Linked DNA regions of Caenorhabditis elegans. The protein of the gene in region 1 interacts with the protein of each later gene in a pairwise test. Each region holds a gene or a part of one and is shown on either strand. Other genes may lie near its edges. The genes, in order: ccpp-6 and F13H10.1.

Region 1 (5,653 bases):
TCCCACTCAATGTTTCATTTACAGAGGTTACGTTGATGACCCACGTAACACTGATAACGCATGGATGGAGACTGTTGTTTTCAATTTTCATGATTCAAAAGGCCTTCTGAAAAATGTGGCTCTTCAAGCAGGAGATGATGCTAAAGCTTTACGCTGGATTGCAGTTAATTCAAATGAGCCACTTTACGCTTCTCATTCTCATTTTATTGATCTTCTAAAAGAATCTCATTCTCATTAACTACCACATGTCTCTCTTTTCTCATGTTCTCCTCTTATTTTCGCGTTTCTGTTAGCTATATTCAATTCATAAATGATTTTCATTTCAGAAATGAGCCGTGGAGGAGGTGGTGATCGTCGTGCCGCACCGGATATCAATGGTCTAACTTCGCTGAAAATCGACAACTTGTCGTACCAAACAACGCCCAACGATTTGCGTCGAACTTTTGAGCGATACGGAGACATTGGAGATGTTCACATTCCAAGGGACAAGTACTCTCGCCAATCGAAAGGATTCGGATTCGTTAGATTTTATGAGTAAGTTAAATTGGAACTATTGGAGAGAAAACATCAGAAAATCAATATTATTTTAGACGTCGTGATGCTGAGCACGCATTGGACCGCACAGACGGAAAGTTGGTTGATGGACGCGAGTTACGTGTGACTCTTGCAAAGTATGATCGACCATCGGATGAGAGAGGAGGCCGTGGAGGTGGTGGTGGACGTAGAAGGTTAGTATACTCAGTTGATTCCCCTTGTAGTTGTGCTCAAAAATTAGGCGCGAGACTTAATGGAACCCTTGTCTTCCTGACTTATTTATAGAACAGCAGCAGAGCCAGATGTTGCTGAGCTGAGCTGAATTTTTGCTGCTGTTGAAGCTGTAAATGCTTGCTGAGTGACACTTGAGTAGCAGAATTGCTGAAAATGCAGAGAAAAGCAGTTTTGATGTTGCTGTGTCTGCTGAATGAAACCAGCGGCGACAGTGTGGAAAAGGCAGAAAACAATTTTGTAAGTGCCCGAATATTTTCAATCGGCATATTCTACAGTTTGTTGCTGAAATTCAACTTTCGGTGGCAAACTGTATTGATAGACGTTGTTCTTTGTCTTTGAGTTGTCACTTCTTTCTATCGAATAGAACATTCACAGCGAGTAATGTATTTTGTACTCTATCAAAAACTTGATTCTTTTAAAAACTTAATAAATTTCAGATCCCGCTCACCGAGAAGACGCTCCAGATCTCCAAGATATTCTCGCTCAAGATCTGTAAGTTACTTTTAATGTCACCAATGTATTTAAATAATTTCAGCCGCGACGTTCTCGTAGTCGTACTCGTTCACCACCATCTCGTGATCGCAGAGATTCACCGGATCGTCGTGACAACTCTCGTTCCCGATCTCGTTCACCGCCACCACGTGAGGATGGATCTCCAAAGGAACGCCGTTCCAGAAGCCGCTCGGCATCTCGTTCGCCAAGTCGTAGCCGTTCCAACTCCCGCTAAATTCCGAAAAAATTTCCTCTTCGATTTCTGATTATTTTTCGTTTTCGTTTTCGTTTTTACTATGATTTACTCACTGATCCTGAAATTTCAAACGTCTTTTTTTTCCAGTTGCCTCCAACAAGACAAGTAATATATATGATTTCCAATTTTCCATCTAATTTCTCCAAGAGAACTGTTAAAATAAATCGAAATTCTGTCCGTCAATATTGTTCCAAACTTTTTTCTCTTGAATAAATTGGCTCAAGTGTCAAAGCAGTTAGAAATGTTCACCCAACCACACTTCCGGCTTCCGGTGTCGGAGCTCAGGTCTGGTTTTCAAAAAAACAAAATTTCATTTTCAATATGGGCTATGTTGGAAATGTCAGCTATCCTGATACAATTCCTGGTCAGGGAAATTTGGTTTTTGAAGCAAGTTTTGAATCTGGTTAGTTTTAAATTCAATTATAGACAAACAAGGAAGTAATTATATTATTATTTTTTGAATATTTAAAAAGTTTAAATTTTAAGGAAATTTGGGACGAGTCGACAAAGTTTCCTGTTCAGAATATGATTTATTCATTCGACCTGACACTTTGAATAATAAATATAGAGTTTGGTTCTATTTTGAATGCAAAAATGCATCTGAAAATCAGGTAAATGTTTGAAGAATTTGTATTTATTATTGATATTCGAAAACTGGATCTGAGGCGGAAACGTCGGGTCTCGCAGCGATTTTTAAAAAAATTCAATACCCTACGGGTTACTGTAGGTTTTCAGTTTTTTTCTGCAATGGCCATGGTTCTGAAATATTTACGAATTTTCCAGTATACCTAAATATGTTCTTTATTTTCGGGGAGAACATTTTGAGACAACTTTTTTCCTAGCTACAGTACTCTATTTTCCGCGCTAAAAGGTGTGTGCCTTTAAGAATACAGTAACCCATTCCTCGTTTTGAAAGTTACCGGCGGTTACTGTATTGATTGAAGGCGCACACCTTTTTGACTGGGTACTATTTGAAAATTAGTGTAATTATGCAGTTTAAACTTTAAAATTTTATTATCAAATTTGCAAATTCTTCAGCGGGCGATCTTCAATATTGTGAACTTTTCAAAACAAAGAACACTATTCGAAATGGGAATTGCAGCACCTGTAGTCAAATCAAATGCTCAAAATAGTTGGTATGATGAAAACCCCTCGATTTTCTATTTTAAAGAGCCATTTCAACATTTTAGGGCTCGAATCCCATCTCGCCATATCTACTACTACCGTAGTTCCCAACACAATGATCGTTGGATTCTTTCATTTGCTTTCATATTTGAATCACCAGATCCTGTTCAATTTGCATACTGTATACCGTATACTTATGGACAAATGCAGATATGGTTGAATGAGTTGGAATCCAGAAAATACCCATTTTTTCATAGAGATCTTTTGGTTCAAACTGTGGTAAATTGGAAATATTCATGGAATAGTCTGAAACTTTTTGGAAAATAATTCAGCAAAAACGTCGTGTCGACTTGATAACAATTGATGCAACACCTGACACATTCCAAGGATCCAAGAAAATGATTTTTCTAACTGCGCGAGTTCATCCTGGAGAGTCACCGAGTAGTCATGTTATGCATGGAATTATTGAATTTCTTGTTTCCAAAGATGATCGAGCACAGAAGTTGAGAAAAGTTTATTGTTTCAAAATTATTCCAATGCTTAATCCAGATGGCGTTTTTCTCGGAAATTATAGGTAACTTTTTGCAAACAGCCTAGGTAGGCATTCCTCGTCACCAACAACCTCTCGGCCCAGGCATAAAGGCGTACCTACCTACAGTGCCTACCTTATCAGAAGGTCATTTCAGATGTTCTCTAATGGGTCATGACTTGAATAGAATGTGGAGAACCCCTTCAGATTGGGCTCATCCTTCAATTTATGCTGTGAAGAATTTACTGACGCAATATGATAATAATCCGGTGAGAGCTGTTAAATTTATCGATATTGGGAATTTATCGATATACATATTCAGTGTTTTGTAGGACTTTTGAGCATTTTCATCAATTTTTTTTTGCAATTCCCATGATACATTCAAGTTGACTGTATCTCGAAGCGATCAAAATCCTAGATTACTGTAGACTATGGTTAAATTGAAACATTGTGGGAAAGTTGCCATGCTCACTGTTATGTGTCAATTTTAGGAATAAATGAATCAATAATTTGTAGAAGTTTTAGGATCTGTTCTTGAATATTTCAGCAAGCCCAAACTGTAATCTACGTTGATCTACATGCCCATTCTCAGAAGCCAAATTGTTTTTTGTATGGAAATGTGAATATGTCAGCTGTAAGTTGTGAATTTTTTTGTGAATTGGTTCGGGCAACTTCAAGAATCAGTTATGAGTTACTGTATTTCTTGAAGGGGTACAGCAACTATTGAAAATATTTTGTCCGTGGCGAGACCCGATATTAGCCGATTGAAGAACTTAGCGATTTTAAACAAAGTACCCGGTCTTGATACTACCGAAACTTAGCAGTTATCTACAGCATTTCACAATTTTAAACCCTAATCTTTTCATAGTTTCGCTCAACTTTGCAATGACCACAAAATTTAAATTTTCTGAAACATTTTTTTCTAATTTTCGGTCGAAGAAAAATCGACTTTCCGGCAGTTATGGCTTCCGCATTTGCTGGCAGATCTTTCCGAAGATTATTCGCTCGAGTTCACTCAATTCAACACGGATGTGGAGAAGGCTGGTACTGGCAGAAGGTGAGATTTTTTATATGGAAGGGAACGAATAATTTATTATGGATTTCGAATAGTCGTGATTTTAATTTGATGGGTCTTGCCACGATATGAATTTTGCAATAGCTAGTAATTTCTCACATGGTCATCCGTAGTATCTGCGTGCAAAAACACGACTGTGGGTCCTGGCGTGAGTGAACATTTCCAGCAACAGTACCTTTTACTTTCAATCTCTATTTTGCAACATTTTCTCAATATTTTGTGTGGTTTTATAATGATGTTTCTAGAAAATATATGCATATTTTCAAAATGAATACATTGGGAAACACGGAGTTGAGAAAAACACGCTGGGTTACTGTAGCAGAAAAATGCCAGTCGTGTCAGGACCCTTCATAACTTTTCAGAACGATGGGAGATCTACTTTCCTGCCTTTGCTATACACTTGAAGTATCATTCTTCTCTTATCGCCATACAGACTCTTCTGGAAATGGAATACAACATTGTACGCCATATCTTCAATATAAATGTAGGTTTTTTTTCAGTGATTTCCTACTGTAACTTGGTTCAATTTTCAGATGAAGCTCTCGGCGAGGCATTTTGCAGAGCACTTCTCAACTTCTATGAAGCCGACTGTGGACTACGAGAGATTGTGCTCGAACGTCCCTTTAAGACTTTTCTACCCGCCCGCGCCCAGAAAACTTTGAAAAAGCAAGCGAGGAAGGTGATTCAGACTGTGATGATGAAATGAATTGGCGCCCACATTAGAACTGATAAAGACCATTGAAATGCAATTTTTTTTTGTTTGTCAATAAATAAGTAAGGGAAGTGGTCAAATGGAAGAACATGTAAATTGAATTGAAGTTAAATCGAGTTCCACACGTGGCACAAAAGAAGTGTCAGATGGCGAAGAGACTACATTGATCGTAGTCTTCGCCGCAATTTTACATATATTTCAGGGAAATGAATGAGCTGACAAGAAAAGTAACAAGAAGGTGTATTTAGAAGGGGAGGTCATCAAGCATTAGGTATTCCTAGCAAGTATGAATAGTCTAGATTTTAACAGAAACCAAAAAAAATCACAACCTTTTCGGGATTGTAAGATACCACAAGACGAGTAGAAGTGATTGTTGCGAGAAAATGTATAACAGATGTTGAGAAAAAGAAAATAAGTTAGGATACTGATTATGCCACGAGTTAGTGTGTCATAGTATCGTATAAGACAGTGGGCGAAGGAGATGGGATTCGAGAATAATAATAAAAATCACAAAAAAGTATACCGAAGAAAATAAATATTTGGGACTCGGGGGATGGTGGGGGAATCAGACTGAATCTTCCCGACTCATTTGTAGAGGATTCACGTATTCAAATCCATCAAATTCTGATTGATCAATTCGTGCAATAACATCTGGATTGTCAGGTGATAATTGTGGAAGTTCGTCGGTGAACTGAA
Region 2 (3,109 bases), on another chromosome or scaffold:
CGAAAGTAGAGTCACAATGTTAAACTATGACTTGCTGTGATTTCTTCTTGTGCTCTTTTTCTGATCGTTTAAACCAATAAGTTGAAAAATGCGGAAGTTTTATCTGTGTGATTTTTCATTTTAGAAGGTCGATATCGATACTGGGTATATATTATAAGACGAATAATAGTTCAACATTGCTGAATAGCACATTTGAAAATCAATCATAATTATAAATTTCTGAATGAAAGCTTTGGCAAAATTCCAATTTTTAAAAATGTGTGTTTCTTTAGAATTACAGTCTTTTGTCGCATTATCGATCATCTCCCCGGGCATTTAAAAACATAATCAACATATATTATTAATATTATTTTTAGTGGAACAATTTTTTGACCGATTTCCAAAGTAATGAGTTGCAAATACCCGCGTAAAAACTGTACAAAAATAATCATAAGGAATTTTGGTGAATTTAGCGCTGTTTGGATGGCTTACATTAGCAGGCCGATATAAATTGAGAAAACATTTTTCCAGAAAATCTACTTTCAGAACTTATTAGTTTATTATTTTCTTTCCCCAAAATTAAAAAAAACCTTTTTCCTGGCAATGATTGGATTTGAAAACTCACTTTATCACTACATTTGTAAGTTTCAAAATATCGTTTAGCAATATTAAATATTTAAAAAAAACAAAAAATATTTATTGCAGTTTCAGACGGAAGTTTCTGATGGTTTCGATATCAATAAAAGTTCATCTAATGTTGGTTTCAAGAAAATAGCAAGTGATTCAGCAACAAGAGTATCTGCCGGTGTAAAATCATCTTCTAGGGAAGGAACTTCAATTCGAAATTGCTGAAAATAAACATTTCGTTTGAAATTTATTTCTTGAAATTTAAATTGTTCTGCTCACCTCTAAACTTGCATTTCTATTCATAAATCGATGAAGCCGAATGAGATATTCCCATTGCATTTCAGCTTCCTTTGCTAAAAATCTGTTGGATATTATTTTCATATATGTGCAAAACTCACGAGAAATATCAAAAGTGTGCCCGAAATGAGCCCAAATTTCATTCATATGCTCACGAGATATATCAAATTCTCGATTTTTCCATATTGCTGGAGTAAGACGAATTTGTTCGATAAATTCTTCCAGTCTATTGTGATCCAACATTGCAACTATGAACTATTATTTTTAAAGTATAATTAAATCTTTAAAATGAAGATTTAAGTAAAGAAAAAAGACATGAAAACAAATTAAAAATGTGTGAAAGTGTCTGGAAAGTGGTGGACGCTCAAAGTGAATTCCTCAAGAGTTTTGTCATTCATTTTGGATGAAGAAGGAGTGGAAAAAAGGAGTGTCCTAACACTTCTCAACGACCATGCTTGCGCAAAAAAGTAAAAAAAGTTTTGAAGGCCCAAAAAGCAAACAGACTGGGAAAAGCTTGAACTTCTTGGAGACTCACCGATATGTATTTGTTTGTATTATGTTTGTTCTCACATGATATCGCATTTCGTTTTGCGCTGGGTTTCTACTAAATTGTACGTAAGATGCAAAAGTGTAATTGGAATTACTGTAAGATGAGATGGAAAAATGTCTGGTTTCCAATGACGAGATACTTATATCTTTTCTAATAGTCATGAACATAATTTTTGGGATTTGCCAGATAATTATTGAATGCAATGTGATATTTGAAAATTTCAAAATAATCGTTTGGATATGAAAACTTACAACAACTGACAATTGCCAAAAATTTTCAATCGCCGCCCACACCTGGTTTCACATATTTTATTAAATCAGAGTCTGCCTTTGTGACAATTACTATATATATTTTGAAGCTAAAAATATATTAGGAAATAACTTTATTTTTCAAGAAACAAGAGATCTTCCGTTTTTCCATCATGATATCGATTTCAAAAATGATATAGTTTTAGACATGGTGATAGCTAGTGATAATCATATTTTTTCCAAATTGATCGAACTGCTCAAACCCGGATTCAGATCAACTTCCATCGGGGATATTGTTTTTCGTGAACCATCAATGTTATTGAATACGTTTGTCTGAAAACAATTATTATTTTGCGAAATGTGGTGTTGAAATAATTCCATTATTTGATTTCATAGATTACATTGATTTCAAACTCTACTAAATTTATGTAAGCGCAATACTAACGGAGACTACAAGTTTTTATTATTATTTAGAAATAGTGATTTTCAACTTTCACGAAAAGTGGTTTCTTAAAATTTTTAATTGTTGAATTTGAAATCCAAAAAAAAGCGCAAGACTAAAAGAGACTGAAATACTAATTTTCAAAGCGTGTTAGAGTTCAATATTAATAGATTATGTACCTTTGAGTCATTCCTTTGCAATGAATCATTTGACATTGCTATCTCGGATATGGTGTCCAGCCGTTTCTAAAAATAAAAATCAACAAAACCGTTTAATTTTCAAAAAAGTTTCTTACATTTTTCGCAGCTTCTTCATCTCTAAATCTCTGTGCAATTCCAGTAGCTGCACCGGATCTTGAATTATTATTGGAAGCATTTGACACACCGGTTATTCGTTCTTCATACTGAAATCCATATTTATAATTTTTGTTCTTAATTAATAACTAACCTGTCCAATTGTTTCATGGCTTCTAGATGATTCTTCTCGATGAGATCTCACAGTATCCGTGGATTTTGAAATGTCTTTGATATTTAATCGATTCCCTGGTTTAATGCTTGCTTGAACCACGCCGTTCTTAGCTTGCCTGAAACATGAAAAAAATTGTATCAGTTTTTGAAATGAATATTTGCTTTGTTATAATTTTAGAAAACTAGATCACAATTTCAGTAGCACTCAGACAAACGCTTAGTAGTCTAATTAGATTTCAACCATATTTGTTTAGAAAATCCATATTGCATTATATTTGCTCCATATTAGATTAGAAATCCATGTTAGATTAGATTCCCTCCATATTTCATTAGAAAACAAATCTAATCCAATATGGTCGAAATCTAATCCAATATGGCACGATCTCAGCCATATTTGATTAGATTTCAACCATATTTGATTAGAAAATCCATATTGGATTAGAATAGGAAGCCTATTAATTATGTCCCCATTATATTTGCTCAGTTTCTAATCAAATAT

The links.
Region 2: the proteins of ccpp-6 (region 1) and F13H10.1 interact in a two-hybrid assay, tested with the Caenorhabditis elegans proteins (one large-scale study listed by BioGRID).

What each region holds. Positions count from the first base shown.
Region 1 is NC_003280.10:5,383,502-5,389,154, reverse strand, and holds ccpp-6 (Cytosolic carboxypeptidase 6), read left to right. Parts: upstream 1-1,837; coding exon 1,838-1,919; intron 1,920-2,002; coding exon 2,003-2,127; intron 2,128-2,554; coding exon 2,555-2,652; intron 2,653-2,706; coding exon 2,707-2,920; intron 2,921-2,973; coding exon 2,974-3,215; intron 3,216-3,327; coding exon 3,328-3,439; intron 3,440-3,717; coding exon 3,718-3,804; intron 3,805-4,102; coding exon 4,103-4,227; intron 4,228-4,607; coding exon 4,608-4,729; intron 4,730-4,778; coding exon 4,779-4,951; 3' UTR 4,952-5,018; downstream 5,019-5,653. Other genes in the region: ndx-6 (Putative nudix hydrolase 6), read left to right, coding at 25-238; rsp-4 (putative splicing factor, arginine/serine-rich 4), read left to right, coding at 329-534, 591-728, 1,206-1,260, 1,304-1,495; pkc-3 (Protein kinase C-like 3), read right to left, coding at 5,523-5,648. UniProt on the Caenorhabditis elegans protein: Metallocarboxypeptidase that catalyzes the removing of polyglutamate side chains that are present on the gamma-carboxyl group of glutamate residues of tubulin in sensory cilia.
Region 2 is NC_003282.8:11,002,622-11,005,730, reverse strand, and holds F13H10.1 (MADF domain-containing protein), read right to left. Parts: upstream 1,159-3,109; 5' UTR 1,147-1,158; coding exon 1,005-1,146; intron 960-1,004; coding exon 886-959; intron 828-885; coding exon 687-827; 3' UTR 662-686; downstream 1-661. Other genes in the region: F13H10.9 (uncharacterized protein), read right to left, coding at 1,930-2,034, 2,323-2,388, 2,439-2,546, 2,591-2,726.